2 linked regions of the Caenorhabditis elegans genome follow. The protein of the gene in region 2 interacts with the protein of the main gene of each other region in a pairwise test. Each region holds a gene or a part of one and is shown on either strand. Other genes may lie near its edges.

What was found. Proteins that work in one complex are often made in the same cells at the same time.
Region 1: the proteins of memi-2 (region 2) and ceh-34 interact in a two-hybrid assay, tested with the Caenorhabditis elegans proteins (one large-scale study listed by BioGRID).

Annotation. Positions count from the first base shown.
Region 1 is NC_003283.11:5,314,945-5,321,162, forward strand, and holds ceh-34 (Homeobox protein ceh-34), read right to left. Parts: upstream 4,634-6,218; 5' UTR 4,493-4,633; coding exon 4,458-4,492; intron 3,853-4,457; coding exon 3,762-3,852; intron 2,614-3,761; coding exon 2,428-2,613; intron 2,290-2,427; coding exon 2,071-2,289; intron 2,021-2,070; coding exon 1,962-2,020; intron 931-1,961; coding exon 750-930; 3' UTR 646-749; downstream 1-645. Other genes in the region: C10G8.2 (BPTI/Kunitz inhibitor domain-containing protein), read left to right, coding at 172-233, 281-362, 404-645. UniProt on the Caenorhabditis elegans protein: Acts as a transcription regulator. Binds to the sequence motif 5'-TCAGGTT-3'. Binds to the cis-regulatory element of proapoptotic factor egl-1 gene and together with eya-1 activates egl-1 expression to promote motor neuron M4 sister cell apoptosis.
Region 2 is NC_003282.8:13,398,534-13,402,070, forward strand, and holds memi-2 (MEiosis-to-MItosis transition associated), read right to left. Parts: upstream 1,974-3,537; 5' UTR 1,973-1,973; coding exon 1,493-1,972; intron 1,444-1,492; coding exon 1,261-1,443; intron 1,218-1,260; coding exon 1,026-1,217; intron 976-1,025; coding exon 793-975; 3' UTR 535-792; downstream 1-534. Other genes in the region: cyp-31A5 (CYtochrome P450 family), read left to right, coding at 2,773-2,865, 2,912-3,315, 3,363-3,459, 3,511-3,537.

The DNA of each region.
Region 1 (6,218 bases), on a different chromosome or scaffold from region 2:
GCAAACCGGCAAACCGGCAATTCGTCAAGTTGCCGGAACATCGACAAACCGGCAATTTGGCAAATTGCCGGAAAATAAATTCGCCGAACGGCCCCGCGCTGATTGATTCTGCCGCTATGATTCATTCAAGCTATTGGAACTCCAATAACATGATGTAAAAAACTTTTTTAGGCAACTATAAAGGATGCCCATTTCATCGAAATCCGGCTATACCCCAGCAATGCGCAAGTCATGTAAGAATTTATAGTTTTTCTTACGAATATAATTTTTTTAATTTCAGAAAGATTGTAATTGGAAAACAAGCAAAATCAATTCTCATTATTGTACTAGAAAAGGAATATGCTGTCAATCAAAAGATTTAGGTAACAAGCGGAAAAGGGCATTCGAAAATTCTCATTTTTAGAAGAGCTGAGATCGGAGTTCAATGTAACATGCCCAGACGGTCGTCGGAAAGTTGAATATACTTATAAAAGCACAACGAGACTGTTAATTGGGAAGACGTGTTCTTCAAACATTTGCCCACTCAACGCCATGTGCCATCAAAAAAAGTATTTTTCATTTTGTTGTAAAAAAAAATATAATTTATTGATTAAAGATATTTTGTATTATGAATATCAAAAAATACTGTCTTTGGGAGAAAACTGAAGTTTGGAAGAACCGATGAGTTAGAGTACTTGAAATGGCAGGGAAGGTATGTCAAAAATATAGTTAAAAGTTATTCTAATGGTCTTGAGGGGGAAAAGCAGTCATCACAAATTCTGAATGTATGAAAAGTCACAATGTGGAGCAAATGTGTAAGGTGATGGATAATAGGGTTGTAGATCAAATGAAGTTGGTAATGGCGGAGGCGCAGGGCTGTCAATATTCATCGGAGGTTTTGATTCACAGCCAGATGATCCATCGTCACTGTCGTTGGATCTGGCGGAGCTTCTGAAACATAGATATTTTGATATTGGGACATCTTGAAAGAGTGTTTCCGAGTTTTTTGTTCATACTACATTCAAAGAAACTCTCCCAACTGACACCTTCCCCGGTCATAAAACTTATCGCTTCTATGTCTTGTTTGAGAAGCTCTTCATATGTTCTGAACAAGAAGAGGATCTCCGCCAACAACACGAACAATGCGTATTGTTCGAGCCGCGACAGGATCGTGTCAACGACTCTTACTGCAAAGTTTGGGCAAACACTAATGACAGCGGGGTGCCCTTTCTTTGCACCTTTTTTGAACGAACGAGAAGCTGGATATGGTAGGAGGTGGAGATAAAAGATGGAACTATTATAAATTACAACTATGTAAACGATAAAAAAATTCAAAACTTTGAATTTTACCGTATTTTCCATTGCTCCACTTTGACAGCTTAAATCTCAGCTGACATTTCGACAAAAAAATACTTTTCTGTCAAAATGTAGGAAAATATTTGATACATAATTTGTCAGTGGATAATTTTTTAAATAAAATCAAAGAGAAACGAGATACAAGCTGTCAAAAAAGAGCGAACCAAAACGACTGACAGGGAAAAAGTAGGTGTTTTTGTTCCGGAAAACTATATTAAATTGAAAAACCTTTCTGTTAACTTTGAAGCTATTTCACTTTAAAACTTATATCAATGTTGATTTCAAAGTCAAATTAGTTAAAGGCAACCGTAAAATCACATTAACTTTGCTTGTTTGAAACATAATGTTTTTTAAAAGAGAATTAAATTTTGAGTATAAATAAAAATTCTAGCGTTAATAAATAGTGGCATACTTGGAAAAAAAAATCGATTTTGACCCATTCCAAGTAAACTTTTTTCCTTTTTCAACTTATTGCACCTCATCTTTTTTCCCATTCTCTATGACAAATCTTGACTGCAGTTACTAGATTATCCTTAGTAATATGTCCGATTGCGCAAGCTTAAACACACACCAACTCCACGCATGCAGACCATTACAACCCCACTCGCCAGGAGGACCATACTCACCTATCGAGTTGACCAGCTGCCCTCTCACGTTGCCTCTTGTTTTTGAACCAGTTGGACACCTGCAAAAGTTTGTGTTTTGGATAAGTAACGAATTGAACTCAAAACTAACTTGAATAATTGATAATTCAGTTTGTTGAGCTAATCGTCTTTTATCTTCTACTGATGGGTACTGGCATTTCTTGTAAGCATCCCGAAGAACATTTCGAGATTTCGACTTAAAGCAATAATTTGTCTCTTCTCCATCCCAAATTGTGTTTGGAAATGGGTTCTTCTTTCGGATCCGGTATTTGCAAACCGCTCCTAGCTCCCGATCCTTTGTTTTCGCAGCCTGTAAACTTTGGGTTAGCTAATATTGATCTCAGATTCGCGGACTATGATATAATATTATGCAACGTTGGCTTATTGAACTGGACAAGTGGTCCCCAGATCAGTCAAGTATTAACACCCTAATCCTTCCGATACTCACCTCTTTATAATGTGCATCAAGCCACAAATTTTGTAGAACTGTGTGATTATGTGGGGAAAACTTGCTGCATTCCAGTAACTTGTAGAGCATCTTCCAGTTTTGTGTTGTAAAATACACAAGAGCTTGTGCTTTTAAAACTGATTCCATTACTTGGTAGCATTGTGGAAGGTTGTAGATGAAATTGGCCTGAAAGTTGAAATATAGAATTTTTAATTTTTTTTTTTTGAAGCTGCTTTTTTCAGTACGAAAATCTAGCTTTTTGTATTAAAGTTTTGAATAAAAATTAATAAAAATGTAGGAAAACACCTGATTGAATCGAAAATGTTACTCATGTTTGTTGAAAAAATTGCGAAAAATCTCGAATAGTACTTGAAAATTGCCGTTTCAAGAAAAATAAATTAAAGTTTACAAATAGTTTGAAGCAAGTCTCTATGAAGTTTTCAAGAAAATAAATATCGCTTTCGAATTAATCGAATTTTTCTATATTTTGACATGCATTTTTAATTTCAAAAATTGGACCACCATAACTAATTCGACAGTTTTGTCAATTTTGCAGAACAACGTACTGACGCCCTTGTTAAATATTAATAGGATAGTTTTTTTTTTTTTAATTTTTAGATTACGTTGCATTGATGACCTTAAAAAATGTATTATTTTCCTGTTTAGACTTTCTCTTCCATTGCTTTACTATGACGGCTCATATCTTATCTGTGATGGATTTTATCAAAAAAAATTTCAAAGTCAAAATGTGTTATAGAAAAATATTTTCTATGTATTTTGTCAGTTGACAATTTGTTGATGAAAATCAAAAAAGGCAAGATATAATGTGTCAAAGTGGAGCACAGAAGTTGCAAGTTCAAAACGGTATCCCCATTTAGAATAAATCTAAATTTCTGTCTCTATAAGGTTCCAACATCTGCTCCCACTTTCCCCACATCGTCATCATCATCAAGCTTTCATCCATAATGGACTTTTGTTTGCTTTCTAGAAAGAAAAAGGGAAAAGCGCGCGTGCGGCAGCTACCGTACTCGCTTCCTTCTGTCACCTTTTTGCTTCACGTTTTTATCGTTCGACTCTTCCAAACTCAAAACCGCAAAATTCAAGCAATTGGAGAAAAGAGGGGGAGAGAGATGATCTTCAGTGAGAGACTACGTCAAATGTTTGTCAAAACTTTTGATAAGTGACACATGACACCTGCGTTCGAAGCAACAAGAAGGAGAAGATTATGATGAGGTAGGGGAGAAAATGATGATCGAAGCGAAAAGAGACGGAACCCACAAAATTCGCAACAAAATAAAAAATGAAAAGTTGATCTGAATTTGAAAGAAACTCACCAATTGCTCAGTCCGTCCTGTCTGAAGTCCCTCGTTGAATAAGGACTCACAAATACACACAATTTCTTGCTCCGAGTAGGATGTGGTTGCTCTGGAAATTCAAAAAATTAAAGTTTTTACGTAACTTGGAAAAAATAAACACTAAAAAATTCGGAGGGGCAAAACTTATAATTATTTTAGGCAGTTTTACAAAATAGCATATTGCGAAAAGTTGTTTCTATATTTTTTCATAAAATGTAGTGCCAAAATATAGAAAAATATTTGATTGATTTGAAAATAACATTCGCTCCCATTTAAAATTGTGTAGAGAAGCTCAAAAATTGGAGTTTTTGCCGAACTTTTTGAAACTGAAATTCGAACATTTTTTCGAATCAAACAAATATTTTTGCATATTTTGGAACTAAATTTTGAAGGAATATATTGGATCAACTTTTCGTCGAATTCGATCTTTGTTTTTGGAATTCCACACTCCTGATTTGAATTGAAATCCCCTTGAATTAAGGAAAAGAACACCACGGTGAAAAACGAACTCATTCGAAGACTGAGACGGTGGAAGGGGGAAAAGAATCCTCTAAAGTAAAACTATCGCTTGGCGCCACCGCCGCCCCATCGGTGTCGCGTTGCCACGTATACAATTACCAAAGAAGATCGTAACCCGAGCTTTCCCGAGTTGTTGCTTCAAGGATCTCAACTTACGTCAGACTATTTTGCGGGTTATATGACTGCTGCATGTTCGATGAGCCAGATCACAGAAGACGTGATCCTAAAAGATCCGTCGATCCGGCGCCGGTAGGAGCTGACAAAAAGAGAGTAGGTGGTGAGTGGTGCTGTGAGCCGAGAGCGTCGTCCTCTTGTCGTCCCCCAGTGAATGTCGCCTCCCCGTTGGCTCACCCCAGTGTGTGTGTGTGTGCTCTTGGCCACGCCTCTATTTTCTCCGTCGAATAGGAATGAACGAGCACCAAAAGATCGTACTGTATCAATGCTACCATTTTGGAAGTTTTCATGGAACTTTTGTGTGATAACAAATTTTTTGAAAAAATTGACACAGTGGTAATGGGAGATCTTGAAAAAGTAGGAGGAGGCCGCTTGGACCGGAGCGCAGAGTAAGAGTATCCGAGGTTTGAAATTCTAAACTTGCCTATTATTTTCTCATTGCCTTCCTTCTCGCGTCGTTTCTTCGGGCTAGCTCCTGGTTTCTTTTCGGGTTGAATCGAAGCAGCATACAGAGACATTCAGTAGTGTTAGGGAGACAGACGCCAGGAGTTGGAATATCATTTTACACCTGTACCGATATCTATTTCACCAGCTTCTGCCACACACAACCCGTACCACCACACTTATTTCACTCCCGCATTTCATAGTGATGATCACTTGAGTTTGATTAAATTTTTAAGTTTTCGTAGTGTGTATATCTACAAAATGACCTATTGCGCCATATTGCTCCAACATTTTTAATTAAAATTTAGTGTCAAAATGTAGAAAATCGCTTGTTTTATCTGAAAATAGCATTCATTTGTAAAAATCTTCAGTAATTGCCTGAAAAGTTGTGGATTGCAAAAAAAAATTATGCTCAATAATTCGAACCTTCGATAACCGGGAAATGACAACTTTCAGGTCATTTTACAACTTTCTCAAATGTTTCAGTTAAAATAAATACAATTAGCAAATAAATCAAGTAATTTTCTATATGTTGACTCTGTTTTAGGTTTAAAAAAAACTGGAAAAACATGGTTCTATCGTTCATTTTGTATAATTGCCAACAAATAATTGCCGCTGATTTTGAATGACTAAATTTTTGTGCTCGGAAAGTTTTTATTCCAAAATTCCAATTTTCGTTTTAGTTACCTGTTGAACAGTCTATCCCCTCTCTTTACCTATCGTCCATTGTCTCAAAACTATTATATCATACTCCAAGTACCTTGCGCAATCAAACATTGACTCTGGAGTCTAGATCAGAGGTTGAACATTTTTCTTCTACCAACTGCTAAAATCAAGATTGATTTCCACTTTATGCTCATTAGCTTTCTGTGTATCTTTTGACCATATTGAGCAGCATCATGCGCGGGCGCTTAGCCGTACAGATGTTCCAGTAAACCGGGTGCTTTCTTGTCCAAACAATGGCAGATGATAACTGGTTTACACGGTCATGTTTATGTACTGGACACACGTCCTTTACGAGAAGTGGCACTACAACTCGTGTTGCGTGAGCAATAACTGTACTTGGTGGACCTGTGAGTTTTTTCTGCACATTGACTGTAAAGTTCACTTGATCATTATTTTAGGAGTTGAAGTAACACTGTCTGAAAAAATCTGTCTTGCATTTTTCATTACTCTCAGCTCACTCCTTTCGTGGCAAAACCGGTCAACTAGTTTTAAGATTTTAACTATGTGCTCAAAAAAGTTCTGAGTAAAAAACTTTGAGTACATAGATATCTAGCCTCCATCAGGATTATCAAA
Region 2 (3,537 bases):
ATTGAATAGTTCTGGCAAATTGGCAAAACGGCAAAATTCCGGCAAACTGCAGGAATTGAAAAGCTTTGGCAAATTGGCAAACCGGAAAAATTCCGGAAAATTGCCGGGATTGAAAAGTTCCGAAAAATTGGAAAACCGGCAAATTTCCGGCAAATTGGCAAACCGGCAAACCATTTTTAAAACTCACAAGTACGCATAAATGAGCCAATGAGCCAATTCAATCATCGTCGGCCAGCCAACACAGAGCACAGATTATATGCCGAAACGGCAAATTTTGTGAGAAATGGAAATCTTTAGCCTCGCGATGACATTTCAGAGGCAGCAGCTGTTATTTGGAGCCCCGCACGTGGTGAGAGTGAGAACTCGAACAAAATTTAGAGAGGAGGAAAAGTTGTTGGAAAACGATCAAAGGTGAGTGTGGAGAAACGGATATGAGTAACCGGAAGAAGTTGTTTTTTGGAGTAAAGTAAAAAGAAGTTGTTTTTTGGAGTAAAGTAATTTAAATTCCAAATATTATAAAGACAACTACTGAATGTAATATATAATTCATCTCATCGTTAAAAAGATTGCAAAATCAACCAGTTCATATTCTGGCAATGTTAATTCAAGCAATATACATGTTAAACATAAGCAAAATAGTTTGGGGCAGCGGAGAATCTATATACAGGAAACGACCAAAACAAAAAAGGAAAATAAAATAAAGGGGAAAGTTAGTTGATATATTCAACAAGAACCACTGATACAATAATACAGAATTATGTACATTACAAATTATAGGACATATGTCTGGAGTTACTCGTCCTCTTCATCCAGTTTGAATGTCTCGAGGAACGTGATCAGGTCCTCGACTGGCACAATTCCCTTTCCCAGCGGGATCATGTCCTTTTCGATCTCAAATTCGTGGATTTCGACTGGATCTTCGACAATCAGCACACGTCGGTTCTTGCACTTCACTGTTTGCTCCAATTCGATGTACTGAAAATTTCATAAATTGAAAATCGAGATTTTATTGCTGCTCAACTCACTCTACTTCTCCCTGAAGTATTCCTGGCGTTCGAGTTGTTATTGTACACGATCCTCGTTTCCACGTGGCGCTTTCCTCGGATAGAACACGTGATTGATGCAGTCGAGGCCATCAGTCGGCCTTGTGAATCGAGTCCTGGCTCGAGATTTCCGTATTCCCGGCAGTTTGTGGTTCGCAGGTGACGAGTGGTAGTCTGAAAAAGTTATTGGCATGAAACAGAAAACTGTTTCTCGTACTCTGCCCTGTGATCGGTTCAACGTTGCCACCACAAAGCTGTCTGTCATCTGGAATCCTTCGTTTTCCATCTCCAGTTGTTCGAGCATAGCAAACAATAGATGGAATGGCATTTCAGTCGTTGCCTGGATCGCGAATCGAACCACATTTTGACCCGTCTCTTTCGGCTCGGCCAGGAAGGAAGTCTGAGATTAAATTTAATTCTTTCAGGAAAAATATTCTCAAGAAATTAACCAGAATCAAACTGGAGATATCCTCGACCAACAGCATGCGGCACTGAGCGGCGAAATAGTGTGGTCGCTGATTGGGATGAAGGAGCACGTGCTCGACAAGCGCTTTCTCCGATTCTCTGGTCGTGTTGAACCATCTTTGCGAGAAGAAGTCGTAGCGCTTGAGACGAAGACTTTCAATCGGCATTGTTTGAATGCTTCTGAGCACTTTGACAGCTTCATCGCGGATGACTGTCTTGCTCGGCTTCTTGTCGACGAGCTTTGGAGTCTCATCGATACGATGCAGGGAACGGTAGTTCTGATCGTCGACGAGCTCCACGTCTTCTCCATGCCCTTCGATAATTACATCATGATTGATGTTGGGTTGTGGTGGGAGGGCAGAGCAACCGGCTCGAGCGGTTTCCAGGTGATCTTCTTCGTTGTAGTTGACCACGTATCTGGTCGCTGTCAATTCGCGAAGAACGGTGCGAGATGGAGCTGACATTCTGAAAAATTTTGGTGTAAAAAATTAATGGAAAAGAAGAAAACAATGTGCTCAAGTGATTTGCAGATTAAGAATAATTTACCGATAAAGCTATGAAAAAGATTCATTAAATCTCTCTGAGCATCAGCTTAATACATCAGCAAAGAAGAAGAATTCACACGATCAAAAAATTTTGTTGGGCCTAAAATAATGAAATTGTTGCGCTGATTTTTCGCGGGGAGATCATTCATAAAAATTACAATATTCATTCAAAAATAAATACTTTTGGATTTGTTTTATTCACTTTTTTTAATGAAAAATTAACAGTGATTGGAACTTTTTAATAATTAAATCAAGATTTAAATATCAGAAAACAACAAAAATTCGTTCGAGAACTTTCTCAAGCCTACCGTACTCTTTAAAGGCGGCGCCTGAAGATTTTCACATGGCTATCACCACGACGCAAGTTAAATTTGACTTTTTACTTATAATTCGTTCTTTTTATTGCGATTTTTTAATATTTTCAGCATCGAAAAAATTTAACAAACGTTTTTCTTATTTTTAAAACGCTTTTGATGCTTTGTGCTCGTCTTAAAAAAAGCTGAAACGAATAATTCTCAAAAAAATTCGTCTTTTCTGGGTTACCGTACTCTTTAAAGGCGCATAACAATTTTCACATAGGTCTCGACAAAGCGTGGGAGAAATTTGAATTTTCAATCAAAAAACGTTTGTTTTGTTGCGATTTTCAGGCTTTTCCTCGAGTTTTCAACGCTTTTTGCTCGTTTTTTTCGCTCAAATAAATTATTTCAGAAGATTCTACAATGGGGGTTATCATCCCCGCTGTACTTCTCGCTTCGGCGACGGTGATTGCTTGGCTTATCTACAAACACTTGAGAATGCGTCAAGTTTTGAAGGTTTGATTGCAAAATTCATTTAAAGATAAATTGAATAAACTTTCAGCACCTCAACCAACCACGATCATACCCAATCGTCGGTCACGGACTCATCACAAAGCCCGATCCAGAGGGATTCATGAATCAAGTGATTGGAATGGGATATTTGTATCCAGATCCACGGATGTGTCTTCTCTGGATTGGTCCATTCCCATGTCTTATGCTCTACTCTGCCGATCTTGTTGAACCTATTTTCTCTTCCACGAAACATCTGAACAAAGGGTTCGCATACGTTTTGCTTGAGCCATGGCTTGGAATCAGTATTTTGACGAGCCAAAAGGAACAATGGCGTCCAAAGCGAAAACTATTGACACCAACCTTCCATTATGATATTCTCAAGGATTTCTTGCCGATTTTTAACGAGCAATCGAAGATTTTGATTCAGAAATTGTGTTGCCTCGGTGTAGCAGAGTGAGAATTTTAATTCTTACATAACTCTTTCGAACGTTTTATTTCAGTGAAGAAGTTGATGTTCTCTCCGTCATCACCCTTTGCACTCTTGACATCATCTGCGAAACTTCCATGGGAAAAGCTATCGGTGCTCAACTCGCGGAGGTTCGGGAAATTCTTCCATCTATTTAAATTTCTAAATGTTTTTTTTTTCAGAATAACGAGTATGTATGGGCGGTGCAC